7 linked regions of the Callithrix jacchus genome follow. The main gene of each other region encodes a partner of the protein of the gene in region 2 in a complex. Links are inferred from orthologs where the notes say so. Each region holds a gene or a part of one and is shown on either strand. Other genes may lie near its edges.

Evidence for each region.
Region 1: NUP188 (region 2) and CETN2 share a complex: the UniProt entries of both Homo sapiens proteins name them as parts of the nuclear pore complex. The link is inferred for Callithrix jacchus from reciprocal best matches to the Homo sapiens genes NUP188 and CETN2.
Region 3: NUP188 (region 2) and NUP107 share a complex: the UniProt entries of both Homo sapiens proteins name them as parts of the nuclear pore complex. The link is inferred for Callithrix jacchus from reciprocal best matches to the Homo sapiens genes NUP188 and NUP107.
Region 4: NUP188 (region 2) and NUP98 share a complex: the UniProt entries of both Homo sapiens proteins name them as parts of the nuclear pore complex. The link is inferred for Callithrix jacchus from reciprocal best matches to the Homo sapiens genes NUP188 and NUP98.
Region 5: NUP188 (region 2) and NUP205 share a complex: the UniProt entries of both Homo sapiens proteins name them as parts of the nuclear pore complex. The link is inferred for Callithrix jacchus from reciprocal best matches to the Homo sapiens genes NUP188 and NUP205.
Region 6: NUP188 (region 2) and NUP214 share a complex: the UniProt entries of both Homo sapiens proteins name them as parts of the nuclear pore complex. The link is inferred for Callithrix jacchus from reciprocal best matches to the Homo sapiens genes NUP188 and NUP214.
Region 7: NUP188 (region 2) and NUP93 share a complex: the UniProt entries of both Homo sapiens proteins name them as parts of the nuclear pore complex. The link is inferred for Callithrix jacchus from reciprocal best matches to the Homo sapiens genes NUP188 and NUP93.

Annotation. Positions count from the first base shown.
Region 1 is NC_133524.1:148,960,081-148,964,013, reverse strand, and holds the start of CETN2 (centrin-2), read left to right. Parts: upstream 1-1,133; 5' UTR 1,134-1,180; coding exon 1,181-1,183; exon of another isoform or gene 1,184-1,319; intron 1,320-2,074; coding exon 2,075-2,233; intron 2,234-2,553; coding exon 2,554-2,682; intron 2,683-3,087; coding exon 3,088-3,225; intron 3,226-3,790; coding exon 3,791-3,880; 3' UTR 3,881-3,933. UniProt on the Homo sapiens protein: Plays a fundamental role in microtubule organizing center structure and function. Required for centriole duplication and correct spindle formation. Has a role in regulating cytokinesis and genome stability via cooperation with CALM1 and CCP110.
Region 2 is NC_133502.1:177,579,338-177,582,837, forward strand, and holds part of NUP188 (nucleoporin NUP188), read left to right. Parts: intron 1-276; coding exon 277-422; intron 423-710; coding exon 711-892; intron 893-2,166; coding exon 2,167-2,367; intron 2,368-2,530; coding exon 2,531-2,623; intron 2,624-3,439; coding exon 3,440-3,500. UniProt on the Homo sapiens protein: Component of the nuclear pore complex (NPC), a complex required for the trafficking across the nuclear envelope. Required for proper protein transport into the nucleus.
Region 3 is NC_133510.1:50,412,531-50,416,030, reverse strand, and holds part of NUP107 (nuclear pore complex protein Nup107), read left to right. Parts: intron 1-324; coding exon 325-438; intron 439-3,500. UniProt on the Homo sapiens protein: Plays a role in the nuclear pore complex (NPC) assembly and/or maintenance. Required for the assembly of peripheral proteins into the NPC. May anchor NUP62 to the NPC. Involved in nephrogenesis.
Region 4 is NC_133511.1:69,220,630-69,224,588, reverse strand, and holds the start of NUP98 (nuclear pore complex protein Nup98-Nup96), read left to right. Parts: upstream 1-1,159; 5' UTR 1,160-1,333; intron 1,334-1,668; exon of another isoform or gene 1,669-1,774; intron 1,775-3,959. Other genes in the region: acyltransferase PGAP2, read right to left, coding at 600-856. UniProt on the Homo sapiens protein: Plays a role in the nuclear pore complex (NPC) assembly and/or maintenance. NUP98 and NUP96 are involved in the bidirectional transport across the NPC. May anchor NUP153 and TPR to the NPC.
Region 5 is NC_133512.1:111,670,989-111,674,488, reverse strand, and holds part of NUP205 (nuclear pore complex protein Nup205), read left to right. Parts: intron 1-41; coding exon 42-156; intron 157-662; exon of another isoform or gene 663-1,088; intron 1,089-2,821; coding exon 2,822-2,971; intron 2,972-3,500. UniProt on the Homo sapiens protein: Plays a role in the nuclear pore complex (NPC) assembly and/or maintenance. May anchor NUP62 and other nucleoporins, but not NUP153 and TPR, to the NPC.
Region 6 is NC_133502.1:179,798,267-179,801,766, forward strand, and holds part of NUP214 (nuclear pore complex protein Nup214), read left to right. Parts: intron 1-186; coding exon 187-655; intron 656-2,163; coding exon 2,164-2,339; intron 2,340-3,500. UniProt on the Homo sapiens protein: Part of the nuclear pore complex. Has a critical role in nucleocytoplasmic transport.
Region 7 is NC_133521.1:14,609,335-14,613,406, forward strand, and holds the start of NUP93 (nuclear pore complex protein Nup93), read left to right. Parts: upstream 1-1,272; 5' UTR 1,273-1,355; intron 1,356-4,072. UniProt on the Homo sapiens protein: Plays a role in the nuclear pore complex (NPC) assembly and/or maintenance. May anchor nucleoporins, but not NUP153 and TPR, to the NPC. During renal development, regulates podocyte migration and proliferation through SMAD4 signaling.

The sequences.
Region 1 (3,933 bases), on a different chromosome or scaffold from region 2:
TGCCTGAGAAACTTACTCTCTGCCCTCTGCCTCCCTAGATTACTGCCCCAATGCCTGGAGGAAAGACAGGTGAAGGCCGAAAGCCACGGGAATAGCGAAAGTGGGCAAATTGGACCTCCAGCTCCCTTTCTGCAGGTCTATCTCAGTCCACAGCCCTTGCACATGCTCCCTTTGAATTCTCCAAGCATACCAGTAACTTCCAAAACTCTTGGGACTTTGCTTATGAGGGCATCTCGGCCTGGAATGCTCCTCCTTATCTGTCTTGAGTGGGTGTCAAAAAGAGTATATTTTGATGACCTCTCCCGGCCCCTCATGCTCGCTCACATCCCCCTCACTCCTTTCAAAGTCCGTTCCCAAAGCCCCCAGTTCACCGTCCTGGGCTGCTTTTAGCCACGTGAGACCTAAAGTGATCCCCTCTTGGAACCTGATCTGGGGCCTATACTTCTGGGGCAGTCTGGGAGTGCTCTCGAAGGGCCACCCTCAAAGAGCGAACCTCGGCTGGATTCAGTTCCTAGGTACCAGCAGTCCGACCTCTGCAACGACGCTCAGCACACCCCTTCCCCTCTCTGGGTCTCAGCTGCCCCGTGAGTACAGCCCCTGCTCCAACACGCAAGGTCAGTAGCATCTGGGGGCTCTGATGCACTCGGTCCCTAACTCAGCCTGAGGTCAGCCCAGAAAGCACCCGACCCGGGAGGCCCCGCAGCTCTTCACTCTCCCGCCCTGCCCAGTCGCTGACACAAGGTGACTTCCAAGGGCAAGACCACGACTCTTACCCGTCTGTAGGCGCCCCCCTGGCTGGCCTCAGCTCGCAAGCAGGCTGCACCCACCGAACTCTAGCCTCAGACCGCCACCCTTTACTACCCTCCCGCGTGAGACGAGAATCAGCCGAGCTTCCTCCACCAAGAGGATTGGCCCAGCTCAGCGTTGGCTAAGCCAATTGGCGCTCGCGGCGTGATCTTGCCCAGTTATGACTGGCCTGTGTCGCCAGCGTGCCCCTCCCCGCGCTGGTCCAGGGCTTTGCCAGGTTAATTCCACCCACTTCGGCCCTGAACCAATGGAGAGCGGCGAGGGCCAGAAGACGGCCAATGGAGAGCGGGGCTGCGCGCAGGGGGCGGTGGGAACGGGGCCGAGTCAGTGTATACTGCGGTTGCCTAACAACCGGCAGCGGAGTCCTTTGGCTATGGTGAGTGCTGGCCGCTCCGTCGCGCCCCACGCCCAGAGGTTGAGCCCTTCCCAAGCCCCGGCTGTGCCACGCCGCCTCTCCTGCGCCTTTCTCGGCTTTGGCGTACAGTCCTTCCTTTGAGCTCTTTCCCGGAAGGGTAGGGTACAGGCGCTAACCAACCTACTGGGCCTGCGCTTCGCTACTGCCTCCCCTTCACCCACGACAGGCCCACACCCGCCCCTCAGGCTCCCCTGGCGTTCCCTGGTCCCCTCGGTGACCCTCCCTGGGCAAAAAAGACTCGAATCCCTCACAGACCCCTGACTCTCTCAGACCTTGGCCTCCTGGCCGCCTCATTCTGCCAAAGTTTCCCCACAGAACTGGGAGAAGGTGTATTGTTTTCTTTGAAAATGTTTTCTACAATATAAATATAGGGGCATTAAGGGGATGCTTTAGCTTCTTGGAGAAGGCACGAAGGTGCCAGATGGATTGAGTTTTATTATTAGATACTGACACGATATACATCTTAACTTCCTAATATTTGGGCAAATCTAGAAGTAATTGGGAAGTCAGAGTACTTACTAGGAAGCGGAGTACTGGCAGTGGGCATTTTAAGGCTGTTTCCAGAACCAGGTTCCCCACATTCGGGAAGAGCTGATTATCTCTAGTTGTTCACAGTCAGTTTCTTGACTAGCTCTCTTTTGGGATGATTTTCAATAAGAGATATCCTTACTGAACAAATGATCTCCCTGCATCTAGAAACAATAGTAAACCCTGTGATATTTCTTGTTAAGCAAAGCTTTGGAATTGGTTATAAATGACTTTAAAAATACATATAGGTGTCTGTAACTATGTTATGTAAATATGGACTGTATTATATATTATTGTGCTTATGTATTTGCATAACATATAAAGGCCTCCAGCTTTAAGAAGGCAAACATGGCGTCAAGTGCCCAGCGAAAAAGAATGAGTCCTAAGCCTGAGCTTACAGAAGAGCAGAAGCAGGAGATCCGGGAAGCGTTTGATCTTTTTGATGCAGATGGAACTGGCAGCATAGATGTTAAGGAACTTAAGGCAAGCTCTATGCATTCCTGCCGTTTGCCCTGCCTTTCCTCTCCCTCTTCCTTGTCATCTCTTTATCACCTCTCTACCCCTTTTGCCCTCTTCTCCCTGCAGTAAGTAACAGGGGAGGTTGTACTGTGCTCTGTTTTCCTGTCTTTACTTACCTTGAGTATTATCAGATGGATTGCAGATATCAATTAGATCTGTGTTAAAGTGTTCCCGAATCATATTAACATGATCACATCAGATACGGACTTAATGCTCTCAACACTGTTATTTTTGCTTCTTATAGTTTAGATGTGTATATTGAGACAATCCTGTTTTCATTGTAGGTGGCAATGAGGGCCCTGGGCTTTGAACCCAAGAAAGAAGAAATTAAGAAAATGATAAGTGAAATTGATAAGGAAGGGACAGGAAAAATGAACTTTGGTGACTTTTTAACTGTGATGACCCAGAAAATGGTAAGTAGTTAAGACAATTGGCATGGTACAGAGCCCCAGTCATCTGCAGAGGCCCATGGCATCTGCCTGTTAAAACAGTCATGTGAGCACACAGCAGTTCAGGCCTGCCCTCCCGTCATGTTACCTTGTGCTTCTCTCTCAAGACTTCCAAGCAGATACCTCATCCCACAGAATTCCAAACCAGTTAAGAAACAGATGTGGGATAGGGAGCAAATGTCACCTTGGATGGAGTGCCTGGCTTGCCTGGTGTTTCTCTGAGGCCAAAATGGGCTTCCTGACACTGGCTGCAAGTCTAGACTCGAGTTATTGTTAAAAAGGAGAGGGTGACTGGGCAGCGGCAGGGCTACAGGACACAAGTAACCGTGGTGTCTCCCTACTCATGTGTTTTATGTTCTACTTGTTAAGTCTGAGAAAGATACCAAAGAAGAAATCCTGAAAGCTTTCAAGCTCTTCGATGATGATGAAACTGGGAAGATTTCGTTCAAAAATCTGAAACGCGTGGCCAAGGAGTTGGGTGAGAACCTGACTGATGAGGAGCTGCAGGTTTGTAATGCCTCACACTGGAACTTCAGATTCCCACCTTTCAGCCTTCTGTGCCTTTTCTGTTACATTTTTCCTCGTGTGAGCATCTCTTTGAAGGAAAGCCAGTGGACTCTTGTCCCTTTAATAGTCAGACAAACCTATGAGCCCTGCTTCTAGAAAAATGCACAGGTGCACAATCTTACTTACTATTTTGGGTTCCAGGAATCCCTCTAGTCAAGGCAGTCTTCAAGCTCCCTCCCAGGTGATATGTTTCACAAAATATGACTTGGTTTTCAAATAACTATTCAGGAACCAGGCTATTATCAGGAGTAGCATACTGGCATTGGGTGGACTACGATGATCTTTTCACATAGCTTTATTAAAGTCTATTGCTTCCCAGGCACAGTGGCTCATGCCTATAATCCCAGTACTTTGGGAGGCTGAGTTAGGAGGATCACTTGAAGCCAGGAATTTGGCACTAGTGTGGGCAGCATAGAGACCCTGACTGTAAAAAAAGTCTATTCCTTAATCACCTTTTTGAATTAGTTTATAAATTAAGCTAACCTGAATATTTACTGTCATATAGGAAATGATTGATGAAGCTGATCGAGATGGAGATGGAGAGGTCAGTGAGCAAGAGTTCCTGCGCATCATGAAAAAGACCAGCCTTTATTGAGATCAGTGTCTTCTTTTCTACTGCAAGCACATGTAACTAGATTTAGTGCCTGC
Region 2 (3,500 bases):
AGGCTAGAGTGCAGTTGGCACAATCTCAGCTCACTACAACCTCCGCCTCCCAAGTTCAAGTGATTCTTGAGCCTCAGCTCCCTAGTAACTGGGATTACAAGCATGTTGCACCACGCCTGGCTAATTTTTGTATTTTTAGTAGAGATGGGGTTTCACCATATTGGCCAGGCTGGTCTCAAACTCCTGATGTCAGGTGATCTGCCCACCTTGGCCTCCCAAAGAGCTGGGATTACAGGCATGAGCCACCATGCCCAGCCCACCCTGTATTCTTTTTAGAGAGTTAGGTTCTGTGGATGAAATCCTTGGACCCTTGACGGAGATCCTGGAGGGAGTGCTGCAGGCCGACCAGCAACTCATGGAGAAGACCAAGGCCAAGGTGTTCTCAGCATTCATCACAGTGCTGCAGATGAAGGAGATGAGAGGTGAGGGGCAGAGGCAGGGGGAGCAGCAGCTGCTGACAGCCGGGCAGGGCTTCCACCAGCTTAGAATCACACGTTTCTCTTGGGACTCTTGAGTTTCTAATCTTGGAATTCTACCTCAGGAAAGCTATTTTTTCCCCCACCTGTCTCTCGTCCCTCTCCTACTGGACAGAGGCTCTCCCTTGTAGCACCCTACTACATTCCTAGCCCCCTGCCTAGGAAGGAAACTTTGGTGGACAGTGAGAGTTGGCCTGGTAAGCATGACAGCGTCCCTCCCTGTCTACTCTGCAGTAAATGACATCCCCCAGTACTCCCAGCTGGTGCTGAATGTCTGTGAGACCCTCCAAGAGGAAGTGATTGCACTCTTTGACCAGACCCGCCACAGCCTGGCATCAGGCAGTGCTGCAGAGGACAAGGACAGCATGGAGACAGACGACTGCTCTCGGCCCCGGCACAAGGACCAGCGTGATGGGGTGAGAGAGTGCCCTAGAAGGCCATCTGTCCTTTCCACTGCCCAGCAGCTCTCTGCCTGACTGGAGGTAACTAGTGAGCAAGACAGAGAGTGGCTGCACTTCTGGAGTTCACAGCCTGGTGGGAAACGTTAATAGATCAGACACGGCATAAAAGCAGGGGAAGCCTCTTGTGACCAGCACTGCAGGAGAGAAGTGCAGGGCAGACTTACAGTCTTGTCTCTAACCTGATCTGGGACTTAGGTGCCTTTTCAGCAATGACTTGGGGATAGTAGCTGTGGCAAATGAAGGTGCAGGGAAGATTTGGGCAGTGAGAAGAGCCCCTGGCCAGCTGTGCTTAGAATTGTCCAGTAACCTGAAGAAAAGCTAGCGTGAGCATAGGAAGGTGAGGACTGAGGAGCTGGGGCTGGATGATGGCAGCTTCATCAGGGTCCTTGATTTGGATCCAAAGTGAAAAAGGAAGCGAGGTCAGGCTTTTAAGCAGGGGAGAAAACTGATCTGATTTTTACTCTAGAAAAATCATTCTGAACTTAAACTCCAGGCCTCAAGCCATCCTCCCAGTTCAGCCTTCCAAAGTGTTGGGATTACAGGCCTGCCCAAGAAAGATCACTCAGGATGCGGTATCAAATAGTATTTTGCAAACTGTGGGGTAATGACCTATTAGGGAGCCTTAAAATTAGCACATTTTGTAACAGCCAGCATTGTTTAAAATGAGTAGAATAAAATATTTAAGAAAATATCACTGTGCCTTGTGTGATGTTGGGTAGGTATTATTAGTGAAAACCTGTAAACATGTACCTGAGGGTATAGTCTCAAAAGTCTTTAGTACTGTGGTTCATGGCCAGAAAGAAGTCTGAAAGGCCACTGATAGGAAGGTAGATTAGAGAGGATGGAGAAGGACCATTTAGGAGGTGGTTACAGCAGCAAAGCAAGAGGTGGTGTCAAGCAGAGCCAGAGAGGTCCCTCAGACTCCATTGGCAGAGTTGGTTAGAGTGTCCAACGTGAGACAAGAGGTGGTACTGACAAGGGTGGTGGCAGTGTGGAAAGGAAGAGCCAATTTAGGGGTTGGTCATTAGGGTGGCTGGAGTTGTTGCTGTTCAATGAGAGCTAGACACAGGAGAGGGGCAGGGTGGGAGAGAGTGTGCATTCTCTGTCACTGAAGCTCACTTGGCATTGTGTATATCCAAGAAGGTCTTGGGCAACCAGGCCCACAGCTGCTTGTCGTTGTCCTCTTCTTCTTCTGCCTTTTACTCATCTTTGCCCCTGGGCCCCAGCAGGTGTGTGTCCTGGGCCTGCACCTGGCCAAGGAGCTGTGTGAGGTAGATGAGGATGGTGACTCCTGGCTGCAGGTGACCCGCAGGCTCCCCATCCTGCCCACCCTCCTTACCACCCTAGAGGTGAGCCTTCGCATGAAGCAGAACCTGCATTTCACTGAGGCCGCATTGCACCTGCTCCTCACCCTGGCTCGCACTCAGCAGGTAGGAGGCCAGCCCAAAGGCAGGAGGGAGCGTCCTTGCTTGTGCTGGCGGGGGTCGGTGGTACTGACAATCCCTGAAGCTACGGTCTAGCCTGAGAGCTCTACCTGCCCTGGGTAGGGCAGGGGCAGGCTCCATCTCATTCCCTGTCTTTCCCTTCTCACAGGGAGCCACAGCAGTGGCTGGAGCTGGCATCACCCAGAGCATTTGTTTGCCCCTTCTGAGTGTGTACCAGCTGAGCACCAATGGCACAGCACAGGTGAGTGTCAGGAGCTTGCCAGGAGGCCTGGCCTGGCCAGCCTACAGTTCCAGTAGAAAAGTGTCCCCCCCTGCCTTTCCCTGGAAGTTGCACTCCTCTTTGTGGCCTAATACACTGATGGTGAGGAATCTTCCCTGCCCCCAGGCGGATCTCTAGCAAGAGAAACTCACCACTAAAAAGGCACCACCTGGCCTTTGTGCACTACCTCTGGGAGATGGGATGGATTCTTCCTGTTGCAGGAGTGAGGAGGACTAAACCAGATTGAGAACACATCCCTGGGACCAGGCCTCTAGCCAAGGCAGCTGTCATCTCCTGTCACTCCTAAAGACAGTGTGTCATTGTGACTTCACCCCTGCCCCACCAGACTAGGACTGGGAGAAGGGAAGCGGGTGGTGTGGGGGCTTGATGGGGCCTCAGCACCCTGCCCTCTGTGTCCCTTGGTTATTTCTAGTTTAACATATACCTCCTAATTCCAAAAGAGTAGTCTTCTGAACCTCTCGTAAGAGTCATTAAGTATTTGGTCATCTAGCCCAGCTACCCCTTAGAGGAAGCATGTGGGGGCCAGAGCAGGGTAGTGACATGTCTGGGTTCACATGGCTAGTGAGTGGCAGGTTTGAGCCTGGAACCTTGGATCTTGTGTCGGCCTGGTGCTCTTCCTTGCATCTGCTGGCCTTGGCCCCCTGGTCACCAGGCAGTGGCTGTGTCTATTCTGAGAGGTCTTTTCCTCCCAGCAGCTGGGCTGCCTTAGCTGCTGTACTGCAGGAAGGCCCTGCCTGTCAGCAGGGTTCCTCAGTTTGTCTGCTGTTTGTGTCTTAGATACCTAGTGCCTCTCGGAAGTCTCTGGATGCCCCCTCTTGGCCAGGAGTCTACCGCCTGT
Region 3 (3,500 bases), on a different chromosome or scaffold from region 2:
ATCTTTCTATCATAACAGATAATCTTCCTGTTAATGTCCTGCTTTGGAAGACGCAATCTGTTTAGTTACTTTTCTGTAGGTAATTAACCAAACATGAAAAATGCCTTCAGGTGACATGAACATTTATTTACAAAGTTAACCTTATTCAGCATTTTATTTAATTGCAGTATGTATACTTATTTTTAGATTTGGCAGACTTAAATGTCAACTCTTGAGAATGATGTTTTATATGTATATTCCTGTCTGTACTTTATAAATACATTATTTATATCGTATCTTATCGGGTTTTATCGATTATATGTCTGCCTTATGTTTGTTTTGCAGATGGATTTTGGTATTTGGAAAGGGCATTTAGACGCCCTAACTGCTGATGTGAAGGAGAAAATGTATAACGTCTTGTTGTTTGTTGATGGAGGGTGGCTGGTGGATGTTAGAGAGGTAAGCTGTGTGCGTTGTTTATAGCCAGAAACCAAAACACTCACCATGTCTTTCTCTTTTTTAAATGCTCTGTCTCTAAATAGGAGCATCTACAGATTTTATGTAATTGTAGATATAGCTAAATCCCATATTTTAAGCTAAGCCGAAAATACTAGCTAGGGAATGGGAATATTTGATTCTTGGATAAACTATTAGTTCACATTTACTATGTTTACACAGGATACAAAAATCTAATTTAAAAAAATCTGGACCTAAATATTTATTATACATGTATGTGACTCAATTTACAGATATGAAGATAACTTGAATAGTATCAGTAAGGGATAGCTAAGGTAGTGGCTCTCACCTCTGGGCTGTCCATTTTAATGACCTGGCAAACTTTTTAAAAACACTGCAGGGTTCCACTCCCAGAGATTCTGGTGTAAATGGTCTGAGGTAGGGCTGGGGTTTGTTTGTTTGTTTTTTTAATCACCTGGAGTGTTTTAATATGATATACAGCCTGTGTTGAAAACCAGTTACAGAAGTATTAAGTGCCATAAGAAAAGCACAGGGTTTTTTTGTTTTTTTTTTTTTGAGACAGAGTTTCGCTCTTGTTACCCAGGCTGGAGTGCAATGGCGCGATCTCGGCTCACCGCAACCTCCGCCTCCTGGGTTCAGGCAATTCTCCTGCCTCAGCCTCCTAAGTAGCTGGAATTACAGGCACGCGCCACCACGCCCAGCTAATTTTTTGTGTTTTTAGTAGAGACGAGGTTTCACCATTTTGACCAGGATGGTCTCAATCTGTTGTTGACTTCGTGATCCACCCGCCTCAGCCTCCCAAAGTGCTGGGATTACAGGCTTGAACCACCATGCCTGGCCTCAAGCACAGGTTTTTATGCTGATTCTCTTGAAGATAGAATTTTAATGTTGCAAAATGTTAATTAAGTGATACTTTAACTTTGAAAAGACTTCAGTGCTTCATTTGTACATAAATCTTTGCTATTCTAATTATTATTTAATCTAAGTAGATTAGGTAGTGAAAGACACAAAATAGTCTGAGGTCTCATAAAAATGGAGCCAAGTGTGGTGGCTCACGCCTGTACTCCTAGCACTTTGGGAGGCTGAGGTAGATGGATCACCTGAGGTCAGAAGCTTGAGACCAGCCTGGACAACAGGGCAAAACTCCGTTGCTACTAAAAATACAGAAAAATTAGCCAGGTGTGGTGGCGCATGCCTGTAGTCCCAGCTACTACGGAGGCTGAGGCCAGAGAATGGCTTGAACCTCCCAGGAGGCAGAGGTTGTAATGAGCCGAGATTGTGCCACTGCACTTCAGCCAAGGTGACAGGTCAAGACCTTGCCTCAAAAATAAATAAATAAAGTTTAGGTGGAAGGCAGTGAATGATACCATTTAATTTCATCAAGGGTTTTAAAAATCAATATTTGATCTCAATTATTTCTTTAAAACTAATCTAGAAAAGAGATTTTTTTGAACAATTAAATAATTAATAATGATATTTTAATCACCCTTGTTGAGTCAAGCCTAATACTCTTATATATTCGATGACGTAGGGCACTATTCAAGGCTCCTGCTAACACATGTCACTTGTATGTGAATTAGAAAATTGTAATTTTGTCTGGCTGCAGTGGCTCACACCTGTAATCCCAGCAGTTTGGGAGGCCAAGGCAGGTGGATCATACAAGGCCGGGAATTAGAGACAGCCTGGCCAATATGGTGAAACCCCATCTCTACTGATAATATTAAAAAACTAGCCAGGTGTGGTGGCTCGTGCCTATAGTCCCAGCTAATAGGGAGGCTGAGGCAGGAGAATCCACTGAACCCAGAGGCAGAGGTTTCATTGAGCTGAGATTGTGCCACTGCACTCTAGCCTGGGTGAGAGGGAGACTCCGTCTCAAAAAAAAAAAAAAATATTGTAATTCTCTTCCCTCACACAGATAGGTTCCATGGCCAGTCCACACGAAATGTAGAACAGAGCACAGGCTACATTTCAGCCCCACTAACTTGCTTAGCCAGCCACCCTTGTACAAGGCATGGCTGTATGCAATAGCCCTAGCATTATGCAGTGTTTTCATATAGCTATGCCTCTAGTTTTTAAATAACTGTAGAATAGTCCCCTTAGTGTTAGGGCTGGTGGCACAGAGGGATGTCAGTGAGAATGGAGCAGGCAGCTCATTACCTACATTTCACCACCTCCATTACCTCTACCTCTAGCACAAGCCTCTGCTGTCTTCCCTGGCTTCTCACTGTTCTTTATACAGTCCATTCCTTATACAGATGTACTAGTGAACCTTTTAGAATGAAATATATGCGACCATCCTACCCAGAACTTTCTGATGCCTTCTTATTACACTTGGAATAAAATCCATCTTTCTTTTCCTGATGTGCAAGACTATACATAGTTTTCTTTTTAAACTAACCCCCTAATCTTGTGTCCTGTTCTCCCCTCACTATATTCTAGCCTTTTGGACCTCTTCACTGGTTCCCCTCTGCCTAGAATGCTCCTTAGCCAAGATATCTGCATGGATGACTTTGTACTTTTAGCAGTCTGCTCAAATGCCATCTCCCTTAAGAACCTCTCCCCAACCCAACCACCCTATTTTAAATAGCATGTATGCATGTGTATATATATATATATATATATATACACGCACACACACTCGTGTCCTTTTTAATCTCCATAGCCTAAATTAGTTTTTTTTCATAGCACTTAGCACAATCTTATATAATACATATTAGTTTATTTGGTTTTCGTATGTCTACCCTCATTAGAATATAACCTTAATGAAGAGAGTAACCTTGTTTTCTTTATTTCTTTGACTCTGGCACTTAAACGTAATGCCAAGCACATGGGAGGCTTTCAATGATATTTGGTAAATGAATGATATTGCATTACTGAGGTGAATGTACTGTCTTCAGATTAGGAATAGCTATAGTATCGGCCGGGCGCAGTGGCTCTCGCCTGTAATCCTAACACTTTGGGAGGCCAAGGTGGGTGGATCACCTGAGGTCAGGAATTCAAGACCAGCCTGGCCATCATGGTGAAACCCCATCTTTAAAAATAAA
Region 4 (3,959 bases), on a different chromosome or scaffold from region 2:
TATGGTGAAACCCCCTATCTACCAAAAATACAAAAATTAGCTGGGTCCCATTTCAAAAAAAGAATAGTTCACCGGACAACGTGGCTCATGCCTATAATCCCAGCACATTGGGAGACCGAGGCAGGTGGATCACTTGAGGTCAGGACTTCGAGACCAGCCTGACCAACATGGTGAAATCCAGTCTCTACTAAAAATACAAAAATTAACTGGGCCTGGCGGGTGCCTGTAATCCCAACTATTCGTGAGGCTGAGGCTGGAGAATTGCTGGAACCTGGGAGACACAGGTTGCAGTGAGCCGAGATGGCACCACTGCACTCCAGCCTGGGAGACAAAGCGAGACTTCATCGCGAAAGGAAAAAAAAAAAAAAAAAAGAAGTAGGAGGTTCTCCCGTGCAGCTGGGAAAGACGTTCCAACAATCCTCATTTGTACTAGGCCCTTTGGTGGGCCATTCCCTTAGGGCATCTCTACTGCTCCTAATGTCTGTCCTAGAAATTCGGAGAGGGAAAGAATGTGCTGGGGCAAGCATAGGTCAGAAAAGAATAGGGTAAGGATCTAGGCCCCTGAAGCAGCCTCAGGCAAACTCCTTGGACAGACAGACCTCCCGGAAGGGTCCTCAAACTCCGCACGTGGTCTGTCCAGGAAGTGCGGGCAGAGAGACGAGAAAGCCTTCCCAGCAGCGCCCGCGGACCGGGGCAAGTAAAGGGTCGAATAGTTACCATGCCATTCTGGGGCCGTCCCTCTCATTGGCCCGAGCTCCCGCAGCCTGAGTCTCAGCGCTCCAAGGCAGGGGGCGGAGTCTCTATTTTGCGTCACCACTCTTCCCCACATCCCGCCGGTGCTTCCCAATCTAGCCATTCACAAGCCCACTTAGAGAGGCCCTGTGTGACGTCACAACTCACTCCCATCAACCGCAGCGGCGAGGGGGCGGGACCCCACGGCCCTCTTACCGCTCCTCCCCTGTACCGCCCCTAACTCCTTGTGTCCCTCCCCTTCCCTCTCGCCCCTTCCACCCCGAAGACCGCCCTCATGTTCGGTTTCAAAAGACGCGTTGCCCAATGAATAACAGGGCCGACCCAGAGTGGCGGCCACGTTCACCAATTCGTGGACGGCGAGGGCGGAGCGCCTGCAGCGAGCCCCTGACGCCGGGCGGCGTGTGACGCACTCGGGCCCTCTGCGCGCTGCGCCCGAAGCGGTGGTCGGTAGCTGTGGTGGTAGCGGCGGTGACGGTGACGGTGACGGTTTCGTGGGGGCCGCGCGCTGCTCCGTTAGCGGCGGGTGGCGGACGGGACCGGGCCCGGATTCCTGACATTTCCCCTCTCCTAAAGAACCGCGGTAAGTCGGGAGCCGGAGATGCCGCGGCCGAGAGCGGCAGGCTCCTCCTCCCTGGAGGACGGACGCGCGGGGCGTCCCAGGGCCTCTCAGCGCCGAAGTCTCTCGCCGCGGCGCACACCTTCAGGCCTGAGAGAGGGGCGGGGCCCAGGACCCTGAGTCTCGGTGGTCCGGTTCTGGAGGCCCTGGGAGGGAATGGACATCGGTGGGATCTAGGCCTGGGGGTCTCCACTTGAGCCCACGCGAGTGGGCGTCTGTCTGGTTGTAGTCATTCATTCGTTCGGCGGTGTTAGGACCCCACGGTGGGCTGGACTTTACGGAATCGTCCTTTACGCCTTGAGACTCCGAATATGGGCTGCCCCGCACTTCCTTGACCGTCATGTGGGGATGGGCTTTATTTGCTTTGGCTTCTCCTTAAGGGAAATGGGCACCTCGAGGATTAGGGTGAGTCTGAAGTTTGTTAGATTTTTAAACTAATATCTGAGAATGGAAGTCGGTTCGGTGGAGCAAAAGGTTTTCTGTTTTTCCACGTGTTCCGTGTAAAGCCAGATGAGGAGAAAAATGGAGTTTCTGGATTACTGCAGCCATAAAGAACTTAGAAATTGTTTAAGTCAATCTTCCTACCTTACATCGCATTTCTGTCGATGGGGAAACTGAGGTCCGTAGTAACAGGCAGGATTAGCCAATGCCAGATCTCTGACAGTCTAAAAATTTTTTTACTTAGATGTTTCAGCCTCCCATTATTAAGAATTACCTTTAGGAAGTCGGTGCGGATGCATATTAGGTAGCTGGACGTAGATGGAATCTTCATAGCGTTTTCCATTTAGTTGCTACCAGCTCTGTTTACGGAAGGTGGAAGCTTCGTTAACCTAGACCTCAACAACTAAACTTAGAAGATGGTTAAAGAATGTCAGTGATGTTATTTATTGGAAACAAATCGATAAAACTACAAGCCATTGTTGGCCTTTCTAAATGTGAATTTTTTGATTTGTGCCAGCTGCTGAGGACTCGCAGTCAGTGATTTTTAACAGTACTGGAATAGAAAGCAGAAAATACTGACAGGACTTAGAAAGCTAAGCAGGAGTCCGTTTATAGTACCTCATGGCTCCATTCAGGTACAGAATTCATAGTGGAGTATTATAGTAGAATGAGGTGAGAAAACAAAACTCCATTTTGGAGGAAGAAGCTATCAGAAAGAGAGAGGAAGGGAGGGAGGGAGGGAGGGAGGAAGGGAGAAAGGGAAAGAGCAGTGATTATTCCCTGTGACAGTCTTATAAATTCAGGAAGAAGCTCTAGTTAGTTAACTGGGTTACAGAATGTTTACCTGGTGGAGGAAGTTAGAGTATTTAAAAACCAAAACTAGAGATTGAACAGGATAAAGGTACTGGGAAGGCTGGGTGCAGTGGCTCATGCCTGTAAACCCAGCACGTTGGGTGGCTGAGGTGGTCTGATCACGAGGCCAGGAGTTCCAGACCTGCCTGACTAACATGGTGAAACCCCATCTCTACTAAAAATACAAAAATTAGCCCAGTGTGGTGGCGCATGCCTGTAATCCTAGCTACTCGGGAGGCTGAGGCAGGAGAATCACTTGAACCTAGGAGGTGGAGGTTGCAGGGACCCAAGATCATGCCACTGCACTCCAGCCCGGGCGACAGACCAGACTCCGTCTCAAAAAAGAAAACAAAAAAGGTACTGGGAAATACTTGGGTAAAATTACTGGTTTTGACTTCTCAGATTTGATGAAATTGAATTAGTTGACACTTTGGTCTGTTCACATCAGTAAGGTTGTCACTTTGCTCTTATTTAGATGACAAAGCATAAACTCAAAACCAGTAGTGCAGGGAGAACAGTAAAGCATGAACAGGGTATGTTTTCTGTGACATTTTCTCAGTTCAAGCGTCTTCTGGGAAGCTTTTCTTGGCATTCTCTCCTCTGCAAGCTTCCATAACACCTATTTGATACTTCTATTTATAGCACCTATCATTTCTATTTTAGCTGTGTTTTTATTAGTCTGGTAAAATATTTTTGTCTTTGTAGTCCAATTGCCTGCCACATAGTAGGCCCTCAATAAGTGTGTTTAGACTTATTGAATGAATAGACAAATATGGAGGAGTTATACCTAACAGTAGTCAATAAAGAAATCTGTTTATATGTTATGTGTTAGTCTGCTGTTTCTAGGTTATGTGATACTTTGGTACCTGACTTTATTTAATGAGATAGGGTCTCACTCTGTCACCCAGGCTGGAGTGCAGTGGTACAGTCTTTCGGTTCACAGCAGCCTTGACCTCCTGGGCTCAAGCAGTCCTCCCACCTCAGCCTCCAAAGTAGCTGGGACCACAGGTGTGCACTGCCATACACAGCTAATTTTTTTATTTTTTATTTTTTATTTTTTGGGGGGTAGAGACGGGGTTTTGCTATGTTGCCCAGGCTAGTCTTGAACTCCTGGGCTCAAGCCATCCACCCACCTCAGCCTCCCAAAGTGTTGGGATTACAGGCAGGAGCCACTGTGATCAGCCAGTACCTGACTTTATGTCTGCTACATCTTAGATAAATAAGAGCAAGTAGAATTTTTAGGGAACCAAATTTACAGCTTTGAAAAAATTAGCCAGTTTTTTTGTAATATGATTTA
Region 5 (3,500 bases), on a different chromosome or scaffold from region 2:
GAACGACTGATTTAGGGGTCTTTCTTACTTTAATGCTTTAGGTCATATATCAGTTATGTGCATGCTCTGATACGTCTGGCCCTACTATGAGGTACTTGAGAACCAGCCAGGATTTCTTATTTTCCCAGTTGAAGTATCTACCGTTTTCTAACAAAGGTAGGATATTATTTTCCCTTATTATAAGAACAAATTTATAATTCCATGTTAAGTGATTTTATTTATGCAGCATGTGGGGGGAATTCTGTTCTCATTCTAATATTTTGGCTTCTTTGTTATTTCGGGTTCCTTTTGTAATTTCTGCTTCAAAAAACCTGATATTTTATCTGCTAGCAAAAACTTATTTAAATATAGCCTGTCAGAGATAGAATTTGATTCTTTTGCAACAAATGAAATTTAAAGATTGTGTTGAAGGGATACGAAAATTAATGGGAATTTTAAAGTTTTGAATGAAAATTGTTTTACAAAGATTTCTTATTTTCTCTTTCCAGGCTGTTTATAAGGAAAAAAAATCGCGATTTACTTTTGTTTCTTGTGTATATATTGAAACTTATTCAGGTCTTGAAATGAAAACTTGAAAACTAATATGATAGAAAACAGCTTTAACTTAGTTTATTGATATGACACAATTATTCCAGGCTAATGAAGTTTTATTGGGATTTTACTTTATTTTCTTTTGGATCAACTTTTAATAGTTTTCTGAATTCAGATTGTATTCAGACAGTCTTGGTCTATTGAGTTTTTTTTTTTTTTTTTTTTTTTTTTTAATTTTTTATTGGATTATAGGTTTTGGGGTACATGAGCAGAGCATGCAAGACAGTTGCGTAGGTACACACATGGCAGTGTGCTTTGCTTTTCTTCTCCCCTTCACCCACATTTGGCATTTCTCCCCAGGCTATCCCTCCCCACCTCCCCCTCCCACTGGCCCTCCCCTTTTCCCCCCAATAGACCCCAGTGTTTAGTACTCCCCTTTCTGTGTCCATGTGTTCTCATTTTTCATCACCCACCTATGAGTGAGAATATGCGGTGTTTCATTTTCTGTTCTTGTGTCAGTTTGCTGAGGATGATGTTTTCCAGATTCATCCATGTCCCTACAAACGACACGAACTCATCATTTCTGATTGCTGCATAATATTCCATGGTGTATATGTGCCACATTTTTCCAATCCAGTCTATTATCAATGGGCATTTGGGTTGATTCCAGGTCTTTGCTATTGTAAACAGTGCTGCAATGAACATTCGTGTACATGTGTCCTTATAGTAGAACGATTTATAGTCTTTTGGATATATACCCAGTAATGGGATTGCTGGGTCAAATGGAATTTCTATTTCTAAGGCCTTGAGGAATCGCCACACTGTCTTCCACAATGGTTGAACTAATTTACACTCCCACCAACAGTGTAAAGGTGTTCCTTTTTCTCCACATCCTCTCCAGCATCTGTTGTCTCCAGATTTTTTAATGATCGCCATTCTAACTGGCGTGAGATGGTATCTCAATGTGGTTTTGATTTGCATCTCTCTGATGACCAGTGACGATGAGCATTTTTTCATATGATTGTTGGCCTCATATATGTCTTCTTTCGTAAAGTGAGTTTTTTTAAAGTTTAGTTTGTATCATCTTTGTGTTTTAGGAAATTGAGGCTCACACATTTCATAAACAAATTTCTGTTACTAGTAATTGCCAGCATCTCATTTACCTTTTAGAGTAAATGGTGTTAAACCTCTGAGAATTATCTAATGGCATAAGAATTTTCACTTTATTTTCATTAGTGTCTTATTTTTAGTTCTGTGATTTTCTTTATGTAAGAAGCTTTTAGTAACCCTCTTTTTATACCTAATTAAAAAGAAAATTTAACATTTTACTTATTATGGTACATGTTTTATAAAACTTCATTTAGCTTTTCCTGAAATTATTATTAGTATTATTGTTATTTGGTTAATTTTATGTTTATACTGTCACAGTATAGGGTTCAATGTCAAGCATGTTAAAATAGTATTGAATTTAAAAACTGTTATTGTAGGACTAGGCACAGTGGCGCACACCTATAATCCTAGTGCTTAGGTAGGCTGAGACAGGAGGATCACCAAGGCCAGGAGTTCAAGAACAGCCTGGGCAGTAGAGCGAGACCCTGTCTCTACAATAAAAAAATAAATAAAAATGAAAACTATTGTGTAAGTGATTCCTAGCCTTAATTAAATGTTAAACCACATCCTTGAGATATTATAAAATCAAGTAATTTAAGTTTGATTTTTCTTAAGTATTTATTTTGTGAAATCAAAACCAAACTGTGATAGTTTTTGAGTTATGTATTTGAAAATTACTTTGAGAGGGAGCACCCCTCCACTCCATTTGCTCGCAGTATCCTAAAATCTGTGCTCTCGCTGCAGTTCCCTTTGGGTTCCATGTTTTTCTTGTTCCCTTCCATGCCTAGCTGGATTGCAGAGTTGAGTTAAGTTTATGATTATGAAATAAAGACTAAATAACAATAAAAAAATTACTTTGAAATATTGTTTTATATATTAATGTCAAAATATGATAGACTCAGAATCTTGGTGAAATTAAAATTAGTAATGAAAACTAGATTCCCTTTTACTCTTCATTTACCTTAGCTCATCTTTCATAGATTTATACTAGCTTATTTTTTCTTCCTTGGTATCTTTTTTTTTTCTAGTAATTCTACAGAATGAGAAATTATTGCGTTGCTGAGTTTCATAAATTACTGACTTCGTTACATGGGAAAATACCTGTTGAGTTATGGAATTTAAGTCTGTTTTGATACTATGCTATTATTCTAGGAAACAAAATTTACTTTTTAAATTCTAGAATATGAAATTTCTATGCTGAACCAGATGTCATGGCTTATGAAAACTGCCTCAATAGAACTAAGGGTAACCTCTCTGAATCGTCAGCGGTCACATACCCAGAGGCTCCTACACCTCTTATTGGATGACATGCCAGTGAAACCATACTCAGGTGAGTATTAGTATTTGTTTTATTGTGCTGGTGACTAGTTATTCTGAAGACAAAGCACAGATCTGAAGCTTGTGCTTAGTATGTGATTATAGACCAAAATCAACTTCTCACTTTTAGAATGTTTTTTTTTTTAAAACACAAAAATATTAACTCATCTTTTGATTGTCATTTATTATTATTTTAAGCATCCACATTACACTGTAGTCATACCGGTATTATACTCAAAATTGTCAGTGGAGTTTGTCATGCTGACCCAGCATGACCTAAGCTATTTCAATGTGTATTATTCATGCAAATTAAGCATAAACTTTAAAATCATCTCATTGGTATGATTGGATCTTGCCATTTTTGAGAATCTGATTATTCTCTTTATAATTGTGAGATGGATTCCATATGGATGGAAAGAATTAGATGAATGTTGGTAGTAAGTCCTCATCTTTCTTCGCATTCTAATTATGAATTTGCACAGGGCTCTTTGACGTAGAAACAATGATCTAGAAATAAAATACTTTATGTTTGTTATTTCCAA
Region 6 (3,500 bases), about 2.2 Mb from region 2:
TTCATTTATCTCATGCTACATGAAAACTTCAATATTAACTGTGTTCCCATCTATTCTTTTTGCTTCTTAAACTAGTATCATTCTGGCTTCATTCTACCACACATTCTTTTTCACTTGCTTTCCCTTATGTGAACCTCCACTCTTACAGTGTTAACCTTTTCCTTTTTTTTTTTTTTGTCACTGCAGGAAGTACGCCCACTACCCCGACCTCCCCTCAAGCCCCACAGAAACTGGATGCTTCTGCAGCTACAGCCCCTGCCTCTCTGCCACCATCATCACCTGCTGCTCCCCTTGCCACTTTTTCTTTGCTTCCTGCTGGTGGGGCTCCCACTGTGTTCTCCTTTGGTTCTTCATCTTTGAAGTCAGCTGCTACAGTCACTGGGGAGCCCCCTTCATATTCCAGTGGCTCAGACAGCTCTAAAGCAGCCCTGGGCCCTGGCCCATCAACTTTTTCTTTTGTTCCCCCTTCTAAAGCCTCCCTAGCCCTCACCCCTGCAGCGTCTCCCATGGCTCCATCAGCTGCTTCATTCTCCTTTGGATCATCTGGTTTTAAGCCTACCCTGGAAAGCACACCAATGCCAAGTGTGTCTGCTCCAAATGTAGCAGTGAAGCCCTCCTTCTCACCCTCAGCAGTCAAAGTCAACCTTAGTGAAAAGTAAGTCATTTCTAAAGTTTGATTCTTCTGTGGGATGGGTAGAAATATTGCATGTTATTTGCTAGACGTAGAGTCACTGTGAGAGGAGTTACTGAGTAGAATTTTTTACCCAGAGTAATACTTTCAAGTGGTAGAAATTCAGCCAACATAAAAAGCTGGCATTTCATCAGTGGATAGAGTCCAGAAGGGTCTCTTAGCTAGCATTTTGTTTTTTTGACTATTAGGGATTTATATTCAAATATTTGTGGTTTTTTTTACATTACAAAGGTAGGAAATATTCCTTATTTTAAAAAAAGAAACAATCAAGAATATATATCCTAGAAGGAAATTAATCCCTTGTAGACTTCCCCCCCAACCCGTGTCCACCCTTAATTCTCAAATGTCTACATAGCCACAAAGTGATCTTGCGACATCGTAAATTGTTAGGTGATTCTTCTGCTTGACAGTCCCTGTGAAGCCCCATGGCTGCTCACTGCTAATTATTAGGTTGGTATCCAATTTCCTCCAGATCTAAGTCCTACAGCTCACTCATTTCTTATTTATTTACTTCTTTATCTGCTTGTTCTTTTCTCCCCACTAGAATGTAAGCTTTTCAAAGGAAGCAATCCCTTATATTTTGTAACCCCTCCCAAGATAACCACTGGTTATAGATACTACCAGCCTTTCCCTGCTTGCCTGTACTCTCTGTTGTTGCTGTGGTGGTGCTGCCACTGTCAGCTACTGTTAATATTTATCCGGCAGGCAGCCGCTTCATGCTAAGGGTTGCATAGTGTTCTGTTTTGTTGGCTGCACCACAGTTTATCTGACCAGTCATCTAATGCTGGATGTTTAGATTGTCTACAGACTTTTGCTCTTTAGGTGGAACTGGCTTTACATTCCCTTTAGGCCATGAGTATCCCAAAGACAGTGACTTGCGTTTCTCTTCCTTTTTCACTTCCAGAAAAGGTGGTCACTCTCAAAACGAGTTCTTAGTAATTTCCTTGGTAAGAAAAAGTACTAACTCCAGGAGGCTGAGGCAGGAGAATTGCCTGAACCCAGGAGGCCGAGGTTGCGGTGAGCCGAGATCGCGCCATTGCACTCCATCCTGGGTAACAAGAGCAAAACTCCGTCTCAAAAAAAAAAAAAGAAAGAAAAGAAAAAGTACTGACTCCCCTAAGCGTAATTGGGTCCCACCTCCTGTTTAAAACTCAGCTGGACACAATAATATTTCATATCCTGATAAACTTGGTATTTTATATTGTGATAAACTTAGTTTTGTCTTTAAGTATTTGATATTTCCCCTAAATAACACATCCTAAATAAGCAGACGATAAGATAAATGCTTCCTTGCAGCTTTCACCTTTTGTAAGAAATAGCTAAACATTTATGTTTTCTGAAGGCACAAAAGTTTATAATCTTTGTAAGTTAACATAAAAGAAAATAAGTTATCTTCTGATGACATTGCTCATGCTAGTTTGGAAGAATCTTCTAGCAAGCTCTTCTGAGGCCTTCTGGCTGCCGTTTTTCAGGTTTACTGCCACACCTTCCTCTGCTCCTGTTAGTAGCTCCCAGAGCACACCCTCGATGCCGCCATTCTCTTCTGCCTCCAAGCCAACTGCTTCTGGACCACTCAACCACCCCACGCCTCTCTCAGCATCATCCAGTTCCGTGTCATTGAAGTCCTCAGTCTTGCCTTCAACATCAGGTCTGATTTTAAGCAAACAACTTCAGACCTTAGCCCTGCCTTCTCAGATTAATGGTTTTAAGTGTTAAGAGTCCTAACTAACAGTTGGACAGGGTTTTTTTTTCTTGCTTCCTGTATCTTACATAAGTGATAAATGTGCTGTGCTTTTCGTACTCTGAATTGGGAGACTTGCTATGGCTTTAATGCTGCCACACTTCTCTCTGACACTTCTTATGGAGCTAAGTGTACTTAATGATTCAAAGAAAATGTCTTACTGTTGAGCATTTATCTTCATGTGGAGCCTGCACTTTGTGAAGCACAGTTACAGAACAGTTGTTTAAGAAGCACAGGCACAAGAATTATTTGGCCAGGTACAACAGCACATGCCTGTAATCCCAGCACTTTGGGAGGCTGAGGCGGGTGGTTTCCCAGAGGTTGGAGTTCAAGATCAGCCTGGCCAACATGGTGAAACCCCATCTCTACTCAAAATACAAAAATCAGCCAGGTGTGGTGGTGGGTGCCTGTAATCCCAGCTACTCAGGAGGCTGAGGCAGGAGAATTGCTTGAACCCAGGAGGTGGAGATTCCAGTGAGCCAAGATCGCACCCCTGCATTCCAGTGTGGGCTACAGAGCAGGACTCCATCTCAAAAAAAAAAAGACTCACAGAAGAGAGAGTGCCTGCAGCAACTGTATTCGTATTTTCAGTTAGTCATACTATAAGCAGGAAGTGTTTTGGCTTTTGTTTTGTTTTGTTTTGAGACAGATTGTCTGTCACCCAGGCTGTAGTGCAGTGGAATGCTCCAGACTCACCACAGCCTCTACCTCCTGGGCTCAAGCAGTCCTCCCACCTCAGCCTCCTGAGTAGCTGGGACTACAGGCATGTACCACCACCGCTGGCTAATTTTTAAATTTTTTTATAGAGACAAGGTCTTGCCATATTGCTGAGGCTGGTCTCAAACTCCTAGGCTCAAGCAATCCTCCTGTCTCAGCCTCCCAAAGGGCTAGGATTACAGGTGTGAGCCACCATACCTGGCTCCTAAAATGTTCATATTTTGTTTTTTTTCATTATCTTAGAACAGAGACTAGCACAGCTGGTGGACATCACTTTTTAAAATAAATCATAAAAGTGGGGCCAGGGGCAATGTGTAACTTAATTCCTTTGATTTAGAGAAGGGACATTTG
Region 7 (4,072 bases), on a different chromosome or scaffold from region 2:
TCTGTCCCTCAATGGTATGGTATTAGGAGGTGAGGACTTTGGTAGGTGATTGGGTCATGAGAGTGAAGCCCTCAATTAGGGCACTTATACAAGAAATATTGGAGAGCTCCCTCATCCTTCTTCTGTGTGTGGTTACAGAGAGAAGAGTACTTTATTAGTGTGTTCTCACGCTGCTATGAAGAAATACCTGAGACCGAGTAATTTATAAAGAAATGAAGTTTAATTGACTCATAGTTCTGCATGGCTGGGAGGCTTCAGGAAACTTACAATCATGGTGGAAGGCACCTGCTCACTGGGCGGCAGGAGAGAGAATGAGTGTAAGCAGGAGAAATGCCAGATGCTTATAAAACCATCAGATCTTGTGAGACTATCACGAGAACAGCATGGTGGAGACTGCCCCCATGATCCAATTACCTCCACCTGGTCTCACCCTTGACATGTAGGGATTATTGGGACTATAATTTGAGGTGAGATTTGGATGGGGACACAGAGCCAAACCGTATCAAGTGTTATCTATGAATTAGGAGGCAGGCCCTCAGCAGACACTGAATCTGCTGGTGCTTTAATCTAAGGCTTCCCAGCTTCTAGAACGGTGAGAAATAAATTTCTGTTGTGTATAAGCCATTCAGTCTATGGATGTCTGACCCCACTTGCCCCCGCTCACCATCTTCCAGCCACACACCCCTTCTTTCTAGTCTCCAAACACTAATCTGGCTTCTCCTGGAGACTTCACTCTTGTTCCCTCTGCTTGGAATTCTTTGAAGCCAGAACGTTGCAAGCTCCATTCTTTCTCATCCTTCTTTAGTCAGCTCAAGACGCCACCACCACAGAAAAGTCTCCTTTGACCATCCAAGCATTCTCTCTCCCATCACCCTGTTTTTTCTTCATAGCTCTTCTTGCAAACTGCAGTTACTTATTTATTATATTTTGTTTCCTCTGCCAGCCTGGGAACTCCATGAGGGCAGCGATCTTGTCTGTCGTGGTCGCCACTGTGTTCCCAGCTCGTAGACTACGGCCCAGCCCTTGGCGCTCAAGGATTAAGAAATTGCTTTAGCTTAAGGAATTCTAGAATCACTTTCTCCTGACAGAGCCGACTCTAATCAAGTGAGAAAGGTGAAGGCTGTGGCTGCCTGTGCCCAAGGCGTGACGGTTCGGCCCAAGGCCCAGCCTCCTCCCCGCCCCTGTTCTTGTCCTCCCCCGACGGGTCTCGATAAAGTTCGTTTGATGGCGCGCCGCGCGGGGGCTTCTGGGAACGGCCAGCGTTGGCCAATCAGGAAGCGGGGGAGAGCGGCGCGAGAAGCGGCGGCCGCGTACTTCAGCCGGCACCCAAGCGGCGGAGACAGCTGTTGTACAAGGTAAGGGTGTCTCTGGTCGCGTCCTTCCGACCCTGGGCTTGTCCTTGAACCCAGGACCCCGTGACTGGGTGGAGCGCCGTCCTCACACTCGCAGCCCCGCCGCTTACACTTCCCGTTCTCCTCAGGGCAGCCAGGCACGCCTAACGCCGGCGACACAACGCCTTGTCTAGCCGCCCCCGAGGCTTAGAGTCGGGCTGCTGCCCTGGGGGTGCCTTTCATCCGCCCGCTTTCTGTATGCAGAACCTAGGCCTGTCACTCCCCCTTCTCCACTGTGACGCCCTCGCTCCACGCCCCTGCTCTCACATCCACCTCATGCCCCGCGAGCCCGCCCTGCCTGCTCGTCTGCACGTCATGGACACACTCTCTAGGGAGACGTTGCCCTGCGAGGGAAGGGATATTTGGGGCAAGTGGAACTTTTCCCAACCATTGGCTTGTCTTTTGTACATCCAGGAGGATGCTAGTGATTGGAACCCAGGAGTGGCCCACCCTTCTCTGTGCCTGCTCCATCCCGTTCTCTGCAAAGGCGATGCCCAAGTTCACTGGGTTTCTTTTGAAAAAATTATGGGGCCGGGCCCATGAGTCTTTGCTGAAAGCGAGAAAGACCCGTTGACAGAACCTGTGGTCTGGGTTTGCCCTTCTGTTAAGTGTGGGAAGGAGGTTTTATTTATTTATTTTTTGCTTTGACTGAGTTGTCTTTGAGCAAAAGCGAGGGTCTTTTTGTATTCTTTCTGGGAGATGTGGGAGGATATCCTTGGTCATCCTAGCTTCTCTTCTTTTTTTCTTTCAGTTCTCCTCCTTTGTGCATTGGTGTTTGCAATATTTTTATTTTCATTCATGGTGATCTCATCCAGGTTCATAGCACTAAATACCTACATATCAGAGGCTAACAGATTCCATATTTATGTCTCCATTGTAGGCCTCACCCCGACCTTTATCCAGCCACCCACTTAGTATCGGATGATAGGCAACTCAGACATGTCAAGAGAAGGCTAGCAAGCTCCCCTTTATTACCCTCCCCAAACTGATCCTGTTGCCTTTTTTTTTTTCATCTCAATAATAGGAAAGACGCTGGCTAATAACCTTTGAGACGTCATTGACTGCTCTCTTTCTTTTTCCTTTTCTTTTTTTTTATTTTTTTTTTTATTTGAGACAGTCTCCCTCTGTCACTCAGGCTGGAATGTAGTAGTGCTGTCTCAGCTCACTGTAACCTCTGCCTCCCAGGCTCAAGCGATTTTTCTGTTTCGGCCTCCAGAGTAGCTGGACTACAGGCGTGTGCCACCTTGCCTGGCTAATTTTTTTTTTTTTTTTTTTTGAGACGGAGTTTTGCTCTTGTTACCCAGGCTGGAATGCAATGGCGCTATCTCGGCTCACTGCAACCTCCGCCTCCTGGGTTCAGGCAATTCTGCCTCAGCCTCCTGAGTACCTGGGATTAACAGGCCTATGCTACCATGCCCACCTAATTTTTTGTATTTTTAGTAGAGACGGGGTTTCACCATGTTGGCCAGGGTGGTCTCGAACTCCTGGCCTCAAGTCATCTGCCCATTTCAGCCTCCCACAAAAGTGTTGGAATTACAGGTGTGGGCCACTACACCCAGCCCTCTCTTTTTCGCACTGCAAATAATACTTGCCGTCCTGGGCTAAGTCACCACCTGTCTTTTGGATTATTGAAATAGTTTGCCACTTGGTCTCCCTGCTTCTGTCCTGGCTCCTATTTTCAGCATACCAGCTAGAGGGATCTTCTTAAAACACAGGCTGTCAGACTGTACCATTCCTTTATTAAAAAAAAAGAAAAAATCCCTCCAGTGAGTCCCCATCTTATTAATGATAGACAAACCCCTTACAGTGAGCTATAAGGCTTTACATAATCTGACCCACTGTTACTTTCCCAGTCTCATTTGCTCTCTCCCCTTGTGCTTGCAATTTAATATCCATGTAGTTTGCACTCACTTCTTCAGGTCTTTACTAGGGGTCACCTAGTGAGGCTTTCCTCACTTCCCGCCTCCCTTCGTCTCTTCAGTTGTTCTTAGCACTTACATTTTACGTATTTTTCTTGCATATTGTTGTCTTCTCCCTGTAGAATATGAGTGAGGGGATTTTTATCTGTTTTGTTCCCTCATGTATTCCTAGCACCTAGGTCTGGCACACAGTAGGTGCTCAAAAAAATATGAACTAGATGAATGTTACTGGCACTGTTGTGGGCATGGAGATACAGTGGTGAATGAGACAGGCCTGCCTTCATTTAACTGATGTGCATATGGAGGGCACCACTAGCAATAAAAGCACAGATTAAAAAAATGTGATGTCAGGACTGTTTCCTAAGGGAGGACAGGTATATTTGAATAATGGGACTATCTGAGAATATTGCAGGTAGGGGGTAAGCAAGTCATGGGACTATCTGAGAGTATTGCAAGTAGGGGGTAGAGCAGGTTCGAAGACCCTGAGGTGTGAGCATTTGGAGATGTGGTGAGCCTGAGGGTCTTAACCTGCTTCCTGATGAACTGAAGTAGAAAATAAAGTTGACGGAAAGATGGATGTACCAAGGAGAGGGACAGGTCAGAGCAAAGATCCGAAGGTAAGAGGGCCCACTCCTCATGAAAAAGTTTATTTAAATAATGTGGAGTTAGAGGGAAGATCTTTTACAAGGTGTGTTCAGGGAACAGGCAGTTTTAATTCAACAGGCATGTATCTGGTACCTATTATCTGCCAGACCTAATGCT